Bombyx mori: one gene and its partners. The protein of the gene in region 3 purifies or fractionates together with the protein of the main gene of each other region. This does not show direct contact. Links are inferred from orthologs where the notes say so. Each region holds a gene or a part of one and is shown on either strand. Other genes may lie near its edges.

The links. The genes of interacting proteins can lie anywhere in the genome.
Region 1: the proteins of signal recognition particle receptor beta subunit (region 3) and syntaxin-18 purify together in Homo sapiens (affinity purification with mass spectrometry; 3 studies listed by BioGRID and IntAct, counting the BioPlex papers as one, with this or other methods). This does not show direct contact. The link is inferred for Bombyx mori from reciprocal best matches to the Homo sapiens genes SRPRB and STX18.
Region 2: the proteins of signal recognition particle receptor beta subunit (region 3) and ring finger protein 5 purify together in Homo sapiens (affinity purification with mass spectrometry; 3 studies listed by BioGRID and IntAct, with this or other methods). This does not show direct contact. The link is inferred for Bombyx mori from reciprocal best matches to the Homo sapiens genes SRPRB and RNF185.

The regions. Positions count from the first base shown.
Region 1 is NC_085127.1:13,549,933-13,553,460, forward strand, and holds syntaxin-18, read right to left. Parts: upstream 2,261-3,528; 5' UTR 2,121-2,260; coding exon 1,344-2,120; intron 709-1,343; coding exon 520-708; 3' UTR 502-519; downstream 1-501. UniProt on the Homo sapiens protein: Syntaxin that may be involved in targeting and fusion of Golgi-derived retrograde transport vesicles with the ER.
Region 2 is NC_085116.1:17,094,580-17,098,886, reverse strand, and holds the start of ring finger protein 5, read left to right. Parts: upstream 1-1,506; 5' UTR 1,507-1,584; intron 1,585-1,783; 5' UTR 1,784-1,787; coding exon 1,788-1,942; intron 1,943-3,304; coding exon 3,305-3,443; intron 3,444-4,307. Other genes in the region: protein IWS1 homolog, read right to left, coding at 1-77. UniProt on the Homo sapiens protein: E3 ubiquitin-protein ligase that regulates selective mitochondrial autophagy by mediating 'Lys-63'-linked polyubiquitination of BNIP1.
Region 3 is NC_085114.1:6,494,500-6,498,791, forward strand, and holds the start of signal recognition particle receptor beta subunit, read left to right. Parts: upstream 1-1,484; 5' UTR 1,485-1,870; coding exon 1,871-1,973; intron 1,974-2,630; coding exon 2,631-2,797; intron 2,798-3,621; coding exon 3,622-3,761; intron 3,762-4,292. UniProt on the Homo sapiens protein: Component of the signal recognition particle (SRP) complex receptor (SR). Ensures, in conjunction with the SRP complex, the correct targeting of the nascent secretory proteins to the endoplasmic reticulum membrane system.

The sequences.
Region 1 (3,528 bases), on a different chromosome or scaffold from region 3:
GTTTGGACTTTGACGTTTAAATAGATAGTCCAAGAGAAAATAGCACATACAGCCAAGTTAGTCGACTGGTAAAAAACCGAAGTTATATTTGTAACTAAATTAATAAAATAGTGGTATTTTTAAAATAATATAGATGGTACAACGTTAATTAACAGCATTTTCTCATGTTATCAACTAAGATTCATATAAGTTAAAGTTAGTAGCATAAGTATAATAGTTAGTTAGTATATGTATAGTTGTATTTTAAACAACTAAAAAAATGTTTGGCTAAAGTATAGATCGAAACTCTAGCAATAATAGTGTATATTTTATATAACCGATAGTGAAATATTTGCGTATTCACATAAAAAAACATAAGAAGCCTCTGATAAAACGTGTTTATTTAAAGCGAAAATATTAACATCATTGATTCCAAAATTTCAATTAAGATCATTTTATTATCATCAAAACTGTTCCTTTTTTTTGTAAAATTATCATTATTTAGAAAATGAAACACAAAACCACCAGTAACTACTAAATTTAATCATTATACCAATCTAGGAACAGCAAACTGAACGACATGACCAGTAAGAAGAACAGAACATATACTCTTAGGCCTGCGTTTCTTTGTATAGCTTGCTTAATCTGTTCATTGGCATCCTTAACGTTTTCAGTTGCCCCGACAACTGTATTCGATATTCTATCTATGTCTTGTTCTTGTTGTAAAACCTGAAACATATTTACACTTTTTACATTTTATGTCAGACAAACTGTTTGTATATCTCATTATTAAAAGCTACCTGCCTACCGCTACTGTTAATTATACTTTTACAAACAGTAATATCAATTTGAATCTAAATAAATCAATTAAAGTATCATGGATTTGAAAAATTTATTTACATCCAATAGTTTACGTATGAAAGAACATCCAAATATGAATATTTTAAGATCAAGATAGTTATGATATGTATGTACCAGTATGTGCAATTTTATAAAGATATAATACACAGACTATAATAAACAACATTCATCCTCTCTGGTGGCAGATATTCTTAACCGCTACTGTTAATTATACTTTTACAAACAGTAATATCAATTTGAATCTAAATAAATCAATTAAAGTATCATGGATTTGAAAAATTTATTTACATCCAATAGTTTACGTATGAAAGAACATCCAAATATGAATATTTTAAGATCAAGATAGTTATGATATGTATGTACCAGTATGTGCAATTTTATAAAGATATAATACACAGACTATAATAAACAACATTCATCCTCTCTGGTGGCAGATATTCTTTTCTTGTAATCTGTTTTTTTTTTTAAATGGCTTATGTATTTATTCAATTTTAACCTTTTACCTTTTCAGTAAATATTTCTTGAAGTTCTGCAATGTGTAGTACTTTGCTTTCAATTTGTTTAACTTCTTCCGTCATACTGTTTAGTTCATTTAACAGCTGTACATTCTCCGACTCAAACATTTGCAACTCTTCTGAAGTCAACTCTCCTTCATCAGACATAATTGCCATCTCATTCTCTGATAAGTCTAATTTTGTTTTTGTATTTTCTTTTTCATCTTCTGTCTCATTCTCTTTTTCTATTACCTTATCTAGTGTAAACGGATTAGGAATACTAGATTTGGTCGCTGGTAGCTCAAGTCTAGACAATTTTCTCATATCTAAAGCTCGCTTAACTCTCATTGCTTTCAATTCACTATGCACTTTACAAACAGCTTTTAAATAAGCATCAATTAAATCTACGACTGAGTCCATATATTCCCTAGTTTGTGGGGTCACTGTAGTTCTTCGATTATCATTCCTGAACTCTTTTAGCAGGTGTGAGCATGTGTTCATGATACGTTGCGCACCGGTGTCTATTTGGTCGCGCTCTTCATCAGACATATCGTCTCCAGTAACATTATTGAAGAAGCTTAAATATTTATCGCGGTGTTCCAATAAAAAGTCCCTAAGCTTTGTAATTTGTGAACAAATATCCTTAGCTGTTGCCATGAAAGCATTTTTTGATTTCACCCTCAATATGCGTTGCTTATCTTCGCTAATCGGACTGTGTATGCCGAAAGCCTTGTTACGAGTTTTAACAGTTTTTATGCAAGCCTTAAATAATGGTGTTATATCCATTTTAAGAGGATTTGTTTATGTTTTAAATGTTTTTTCCTTCAATAACACGTAAGTTTTACTCGTTTTTGACAAATTGAATTGACAAATCAATAATGTCCTCACAGAGTAGACACTAACCAAATTCTCTTTTTAAAATTATCCAATTGAAAAGGCAAAGTAAGCATGGCTTTAAGTAGTAATAAATATTTTAATAGTAATAAATATTTTAATCTGTGATGGCTACATGGACTTTTTGGCGGGAACACGTGGAGTGAAGTTGTGTGATTTGTTTTATTTTGTCTATTTAGTGTTTCTTCATGTTAGAACTGGTCTTCTTGCCATCCAACCATCTAACCATCATAAGTTTATTAAGAAGAATAGTTGTTGCCTAGCATTAATTAGTTAGTCGTATAATTTTATGTGAAAAAATAAAAAGTCAGTATGTACATCCGAAGAAAGTTATCAGGTCATAAAATCCCTTAAAAAAATTATTATACACAATCTGATCTGAAGTCTTTTGCTCGTAAATTTACAGTAGCCGAAAGCATTTCAGATCGAATGGAGACGGAAGAGAGACAGAAATAAATGTTACACCACTCTATAAAGCTTCTGTCGCTTATACAGGGTGCCCTAAAAAATAGTGTCAAGCCGAAGTCCAGAGGTAGAACATCACTAGGGCTATCCGAACCACCCCCATGTACGTTCCGCGATTTTTAATAGTTTTCGAGTTATGATTTTTTAAATATATTTTTTTATTTCTATGTTAAGGCACTTTTTTGCTCACTGTGGCGAGAATAGATAAGGTACATGCCTGATATTTGAACACTTGCTTTTTTTTAAAACTCGGTTTCAAAGTTTAGAAAAAATACACAATTTTTAACTTTTTTGTTTCTTTTTTTTATTAGGTTTCACATTTGTGTTATAATGTATGACATATCAGCTATGAGAGCTTCGCTCAGAGCGTGGTGCAGCAGACACGATCAAATTTAGGTCTGTTAGAGAACTGTCTAAGCATGAAGATGCTTAGACAGTTCTCAGTTCAGTTGGGTGAATTGAATTTAATTCAGTTCAACTGTTGGAGTTTGAATATAAATGTAATGGCAGGCAGCACTTGACGCATGATTACAGATTTCGAATATTAGAATTATTTTAAACGTTTAAAAAACAGATGATTGTATTCTCGTAAGAAAAAGTCAATACTTCTAATCTAGACACGGTCAAAGAAACATGTAAGAAGTTTTATAAAAATATAAAGATAATAATTTTAAAATGGTGTTCAAACTATCTGCAATATAATTATAATGAAGCAGTGTGTTTTTAAATAGCCCTCCATCACCTACAGAACCCAATCACCTCAAATTTAACCATCCAACATCAACCCATTGAAGACAGAGATTTAAAAGATATATATACAAAGGCAATAAAAAAA
Region 2 (4,307 bases), on a different chromosome or scaffold from region 3:
GAACGGATGTATTTGCCTCTCATCAGGTTGTCAATCAACTCATTATTATCACGCCCTGAACTCACTGCACCTCCCATTTTTAATGATTCTTTTCTACCACCACCTTTAAGAAGAACTTCCCTCGCACCTCAGCTGATTCTTGACGTGACGTCACTTGTTTTTCAACATATTTTGCACTTCATTTCAAAAAAACTTACTTTTAGAGTCAAAACTATCTATTAGACGTTTTAAATAAAGAATTACGATATTGTTTTAAAACTGGATTTCTCTCTATCGGCGAATGGGTGCTAAGAGTAGCGATCGTTCAACCATTTTCCTTTTGGTTCTCGTTGATTTCATTGATTAATAGCAAAGAGTAAAGATTAATGGTTGTTTACGGTATGTAGTGATTATTATTGTCTTTGGTTGGTACCAGGATTGGAATAATACAAGACTTGGCTGCGGCCTTATTAAAAAATTTATTTCAGGAAGAAATTTTAAAGGACTTGGCTTCGGCCGTAATGATTTTTTTATTTCAGGACATAATATAAATCATATAAGGGCTCGGCTTTTTTTAAAAATGACAAGGTTGTATAGGCCTAAGGAAAAATTGTACCAAAAAAAAATGTCTTTGGTTGGTCAAAATTAATTCTTGAGTAGTTTTTGACGGGAGCGCGAATAGAATTGTGTTTGTGTTAACGTTTCTTCATGTTTAAATGTATAATAAAGAAGATTTATTAACTGTTTATCCTCTGTTAACGTGCACAAATGTAGGAAAATGAAACAAAGTTGCTGGACGTAGCTTCTTGGGTTCTTTTAAAAAGTAGACTGAAAAAGTTTCCGTAAATAACCACCATTCTATTGAGATTTCATCCCTTCTCAACCCGTTTCATTTAATTTCATTTCGTAGATATGAATAACAATTTATGCATAGGTGTTTTGAAATATTTTATGATATACTTAAATGAAACTAATTTTCATGAAAACATAATTTTTTCAGTAATTTTATATTTGATTAAACTAATATACCTAATAAGTGGTTTTTTATCTTGTTTTCAAAATGTACTCGTACTGTTTTAGTAATTATGACAACATAAATAAAAAGTGCGTGTAAACACCAGCGTGTGGCCTACCCTAGATAATTAGATAACTCTATTATACAACCAACTCATCTGATCTTAAGGGTTAATTTAGTATTACCTAGTGTTAGAAATATACTTCTATTTTTAAAGAGGCATAATTTTAATAATTTTCCATTCATTGGTAAAGGTACGAAATAAATAATTACAAATCTTTCCTTATTTAAAAAATAATTGAAATAAAATAAATCCTAATCGCTTTTTTGTAATTACTTCCCATATCAGATATCGTATACTGTAGAAAAGATAAAGATATGTACTGCGAGTTCCAATATTTTCCATAAACATCGACTGTCATGGGACCCTTGTCCTTACAGCTGACAATTGACAATCAAGATTTTTTGACGCTGAATGACATCTACTGACAGATCAGCAATCAGCATACCACGGGATTGGAAATGTGATTTATTTATTTATTAACAAGTTTCTATATGAAATAATAAACTCAAACATCAAATTTAAAGTGGCAAGTGTTGTATTGTTATTGACCTTTCTCTGCAAACAATAACTTGTTATAAATTTATAATTTGAATATATTTTGTCGTGTCACAATAACATCCAAGCGAACGTCACTACACCAGTATCGTGATAACGCTTCATAAATTGAAAATTTCAGTTCCAAAAAAGAATGTCAAGTTGTGATTATTAAATATTTCGTAATGTAGGGAAATGGCGGAGACTAGTCAAGCGCGAGCGAGCCCCTCGGCGCCTGGGGGCGACGCTGGTGGCGAAGAAGACAAACATGACGAAAGAATGCTAGAATGCAACATCTGTCTGGACACAGCCCGTGATGCAGTCGTCAGTATGTGCGGCCACCTCTTCTGGTGAGCTCATTGTCGTAATTAATACAGTAAATAATTAGATTTAAATCTAATGGCTGAAAGATTTTTTATGAATATTCACAACTATTGAAAAGGTAAAATATCATTTGAATAATTTGCATTAAACTATGCTCATTATTATTCATTCTCATTACTTACCATTGACCTTGTAATGCAGTAAAATCAATACACTGAATGGAATGAACTATGAATGGGAACAGCTGTGCTTTGTGCTACAACATAATTGTATCTATCTATTTATTGATTTATTAAAAATGTTAAAAGACAATTTATTTTAATCAAAATTAATTCTATATTAAAACAGATCTTTAAAATCAGGATTTACATTAAATAGATTAGTAGAGCCATGGTCTCTCAAGAAGGTGGTGGCATACAATATGTACATTTGAAAATTGAATGCTTTTTCTCTTTAGCATCAGCCCTCTGATGTTTTCTCAGATTTGATTGATTTGATAGTCAGGGTCTCTCAAGACTATAGTTTTGTTTTGTCAAGGAGAGCCAAAGAAGGCTATAAAATAAATTTTCCTATATTGTAAAAAGTAAATACAGCTTTTTATCTACTGGTAAAGCGTCCTCAAGCTGGTAGGGCCAATTATTGGACCATAGTGATGCACACTCTTTAGACAGGGGCTCAGATCAGTTTAGCTGGCTTAGTTTACCTACTATAACAGAAAAGTTACTGAATTTCTAGATAAGAACTTGTTCAACATAAACTGTTATATTACTGTTAATCAGTACATAAAAAAAAATTTATGCTTATGAAAATACTGTATTGTAAAATAAATTTCATATACACTATCATATAAAAGTTTAAAATAATATTATATATTTGGAGCTACTTAAAAACACAACACTGTTTAGAAACAAACATAGTTAAGTCTAATAAAAAATAGTAAAATTAAAAACTAAACCAAATAAGAATTTAACATACAATATCAATATTTACCTATTTAAACTTTAGCCTCATTGAAATGTCCCTCGTGTTTTTTTAATTATCTTCACACATATCTCTAGGCAAAATAAATTTCCTGAAATATTCTTTATTCAGCTTTTTCCACTTACTTTCCAATAATTTCAAAACATTGAGTTTGTTGGTGAACAATTTTTTACCCTCCCAGTCGTTCATGCCAAATGAATTCAATGGGAGAAATGAAGTCAGCTGATTGGCAACAGAGAAAACTTGAACTTGTTAAATTGTTAGAGAACCTTTGCATATTTTATGAGATTATATAATATGATTTATAATGCAAGGTCTGAGTTTAACCATATCTTGTGTTCACTTGCTACTCATTGCGCACTAGTGTTTTTCAAAGAGACTATGATGGTATATTGTTTACAATGCAGCTGGCCATGTTTACATCAATGGTTGGAAACCAGACCCAGTCGGCAAGTCTGTCCTGTTTGCAAGGCTGCCATCAGCAGAGAGAAAGTGATCCCGCTCTATGGAAGAGGAAACACAAAGCAGGAAGACCCAAGAAACAAGGTAAGTAATACAAAAAAAATAATGTAAAATTATAGAAACCACTTTTGTTGTTTCTATACTTCTGAAGCATAATATTGTCAACAACAACACAGTTGAAACTTTTTTAACTTCAGATGAAACTTTTTTAAACTTCAGATGTATGTATGTTAGTGAGTAACGGAATCTCTGAACATGATTTTGACCTTAAAAACGTCGGCTTAACGACTAGTTCAAGTAGTTATAAATATTTTATGAACAGATATGAGTAGAAGGGTTATTTTGATAATATCCTGAAAAGCACCCCATGCTTTTTTACAATAAAATCATTTTTTCTTACACTATTTTTAATTCAAATTTATTAAAATTTATTTTCTATTTTTAGTTGGATTTTCTATAAAAGCGTATTTTGTTAGCTTTTGAAACTAGTGAAGAAATACTTTTTTTTTGTAAATTAACTTAAAGCTTATCACTCCTATTTTATTTGAATCAATTATGCCAATGTTCTAATCAACCCGATAAAAAAATCCTAGCATTAATTATTTATATATTGAAGACTATACTTAACATTGTATGATAAAAATGAAATCCGCACATTTTTATGATTTGCATCATTACTGGTGGTTGGGCGTAATAAGAGCCCACACAAGTTGGTATTACCGTCGTATCCCTTATGCTACAAAGCAGTGTTGCAGGGCGATTAAAATGCTGGAAGCAATATAATTGAGACCTTAACTTCATGCCCAGATATGTGACTATTGAGTATAGTATTGATACATTCACCTCACTTTAGTGTGGTCCGTGGCACTTACTTGGTGATATAGACTGACAGGCATCTAAAACCAAGTGGACCCTGTGGTCCACTGATCAGTGATTGCTGCTCATATA
Region 3 (4,292 bases):
CCAATTGAAACAGCTGTCCACCAACACCCCCAAGTATCTGATATTATCAGTCCTAGCAATCTCCGAGCAATTACATGCGGAATATCGTCCATTACATACATGGGCCTTGAGAGTAATAGAATCACGCGGGGGTTGGACAGATTTTCTGCTTGCAAATGTTAAAAATTTGGTTTTGTCAATGTTTAGAGTTAATAGGTTGCGGTTCAGCCTAACAGGGTAATAACTGTGATTTATTAACTGTTTAATATCTGTGAAAGTGCACAAATGTGGGAAAATGAAAGCCGCTGGACGTAACTTTCCGGTATCCTCCAAAAAGTCCACTGAAAAAGTCTCAGTACCTACATAAATGACCACCATTTTACTGAGATTATATTTCATCTTTGGAGGTTATACGTAAGGAGAACCATCTCAGTATATTAAAAAGTGTCCATAAGCCGTTACACTAGCTGTTACACTTAAGCGCCATAACCTGTTACACTTCTGGTATATCCCCCGACCGCTCTGGGGGAAGGTGTAACGCGGCGCCATCAAAGCGGGCTCTCGGCCCGCTGAACGAGGGAACCGGTGGTCGTGTCGCTGGCGGCCGCCGGTCCGGCGTCCGTGGGACGGTGGGATGGATGTAATGTGCTCTGCGTCAACCCTGTCCCGCCGTTTCAATAGCCCCGACTGGGCTCCGGCCCGGTCCGAGGTAGGGCGCCGGTTGTGAGTGGCAGGAGTTTTTAGTGAGGTTCAACTCCCACATACCCCACCTGCCACGCGGGTGGGGATCCGGCGATTTTCTCCTGTGAAAAAAAAAAAAAAAAGACTGGTATATTTATTCCGATTTGCACTGCGAGCATTGTAAAGTGTGACGTCAAATTAGTATACAGCCAAGCCGTTCCTGTACAGTTACAGCTTCGATCAACAATAGTAACTGTTGATCGAAGAGTTACAGCATACTGTCATCGACGTTGTCATAGCGGTGTTTTCACTTCAGCAAAAAAATCTTGTTTAAATTTATTTATATTTGAAAATAGAATATTCAAGTTATTGTCAGTTTAATTAATCGCTTAAAGTAAGTATATTTTTAGTAAAAGAAAATATTGATTTTCCAGCAATTTCATCTATAATAACTTAATAACCGTATTATAGAAATGAGGTTATGCACAGTAAAAGTGCTGAAGTGAAGATTTATGAAATCATGTATCATTTCTCCGTTCCATTCACCATCATGTATCATCAATCATTCCTTAAGTTACTACGACTATATACTGTCAGTCCTTAACGTAGGTAACGAATAGCAGTGAGAGCACTGAAGAGTGCTCGCAGTGTAAATCGAAACATAGCCTTCACTGCAATCCAGCACACTACACTCAGTTTAAAACTTCTATATTCATACTATTTCCCCTTGCGACACTAGCGCTAATTCGGTGATTTTCGAACTATAATTTGCTGTTTACAGATGCGACACTTTTTCAACTTGTCCCCTATACAAGATGGCGCCTCCTTACCTCTACCCTCCATAATTTCATCCCATCTCATTTCACATGATTTCATTTCATTTTAATTAATTTCAGTTCATTTCATTTCATGCCATGTTTCATATTATCAACTTCATTTCATAAAATCATTTTTCATATAAAGAAATATATAAAAGATTAGGCTATATGGTATGATACCTTTGCCTTTCCAATTGGAAAATAAAACTACTACTAATCTATGGTATACAGTTTAAGTGTATAATCTATGGTAGTATACACGAAATCACGAAACACTAGACCATAGACTATACTTAACTTTAGACCCTAGAGCAGTACATTCACTTTGTTTAATTTTTTAAAGTACATATTAATTTAGTGACTTAGTGAGTGTGAAGCGAAAGAACTCTACAATGGAATCTGAAGTGGTTAAAGAAAAGATTCATACAGAACCGATCCTGAACGATCCACGATACATAACCTTACTTAGCCTTATTGTTCTAGCAGTAACCCTCAGTAAGTTGATATTTTGAATTTATTAACTACACAGATCGTTTCTGCTTGTGTATTTTTAAACTCAAGTTATTGTGCCATAGGTAATTTGGTGCTAAGGGGTTTGTTAAATGTTTAAAGCCATAAAGTGATTTTGGAGGGTAATCTATTTATCTACAAACATTCTAAGGCACTGCCAAGTAATTAGTGACTTTACAGGAAGGTCTTGTTAATTTGCAGCATGGCTAACTCAGTTCAGAATGTCAACATTGGGCAGCTCTAGAATCTAGTTTGCTGGTAAACAGATGTGATGATTTTTCCAATATGCTAACTTCACATTTTTTCTGATATGTGGCTCGAGTAACCTCACAGATAATAGTGATAAGTAGGGTTACTAAGTTGTCTACGTAGTTTATGGGTGCATTATTAAAACTTTTTATTCGATTGCTTAGAAAACAACAGAAAAACAGGCTTGTTTGCTTAATATTTATTTCATATTGAATTTTCACTTGACAAATTTTGAAAGTAGAATTGTTGTAATCAGCTTAAAAATGATGCTTTACAGTCATAAAGCTATTGGGGTCAAATGTTCAACACCATGTTTACAACAGAACTTGTTGGCTAAATATAAATGCTGTAGTTTATAAATAATCATATTTTTAATAAAAAAATTTATTTCAGTATTTTGGTGGATTTTCTCTCGAAGGTATACTCTTCGCAACTCAGTATTGTTAATGGGCCTATCAGACTCTGGCAAGACTTTGCTGTTTGTAAGACTCGCTTACTCTCAATACAGACAGACTTTTACTTCTATGAAAGAAAATATTGAAGAGTATATAACTTCTAATGTTAGTATTTGTATAAGTATTTTAAAGTTTTAGGTTACTAAACTATAAATGAACGACGAGATAACCATGAATATATAAACTAACGCATGATGTCATGTGTTGCAATTTTGACTGTGGTTTAATTGGAAAATCGTTAGAAATATATATTGGAAATTATTTTATTTAGTGATTTAGCATATTAATCATTATAATTTAACAAAAATAGTAATTGATTAATTATTTTGACTCATTATTGAAGATCCATCACTTCGATAAAGCGGCACGACACGAGAACCCTCTCATCGTGGCCGCTGGTAACTACATTCCCGATCCTGTGGACAGAATGGAAAGCAGTCGACGTCGCCCAAAACACGTCATCTCGGATCCTCCCGATCCACTAATGGTGCTTTTAGGTACTTCAAGCACCGGTCACCGTTCTCGTCGAACCCGTCGCTCTCGACGAAGGGCTCGACGAGTAAATTAACTCTCAGACACAGCCCACTGAGTTTCTCGCCGGATCTTCTCAGTGGGTCGTGTTTCCGATCCGGTGGTAGATTCTGCGAAGCACGGCTCTTGCTAGGGTTCGTGTTAGCAACGTCATCAGGTTTGAGCCCCGTGAGCTCACCTACTAGCCACGGTTACGCTGAAATAGCCTCTAAGGCTATCAGCTAAGGTAGGAAAAAAAAAAAAGATCCATAATAACTAAGTTTGTTTTGTTTTGGTTGCCTATTGAAAGTGGTCTGGTCTTATGATTGGCAATGGGTTTCCCATTGTTGGTGTCCATGATTTCAAGGAGTAAAAGAAATATTTTATTAACTTACCTAACTGGATTTTTATTATTACAGAAAACATTGAAAATAGTTGATCTGCCTGGACAAGAGAGACTGAGAAATAAATTCTTTGAACAGCACAAGAGTAGTGCTAAGGGAATTGTGTTTGTGATTGATTCTATCAATATACAGAAAGAAATCAGAGATGTAGCAGAGTAAGTAAAGGCAGTAGACACTCAATGAAAGTCACTACATATGGAGATTCGCCTGGGCGAATGCATCTTTTTATAATTACTTTTATTCGTTGTTTGTTCTGAATTAAATTCTAATCACGAGTATAGCAGCATATTATCACTATAATCCTCACCCCCACCTCCGTCTTGGGGGAGGCTTATGTACAGCAGTGAATGTCAGAGGGCTAATTTTTTTTATTGTTTGTTCCAAACCACATTAATAAAGCAACATTAATCATCACTGAACTACTACTTACTGGAAATCAACATCTAATAGTTTCGTTCTTACCTCTGAAGAAGTTAAGGTATTGTTTTGAGAAACCGGTCTTATGTGACCACAGTTTCTTGATTGTATCTCAATTAATAAAAATAAATGAATAAATGTTTTTAGTAGGATTTATTAAGTTTTGTGGCCAGTATTTAATAATTTCAACAACAGAAATTAAATTGTCTGCATTGCTCCAAATTTGCCTGTGAGTGAGATTAATCATGTCTATGTGTTTACAACCAATT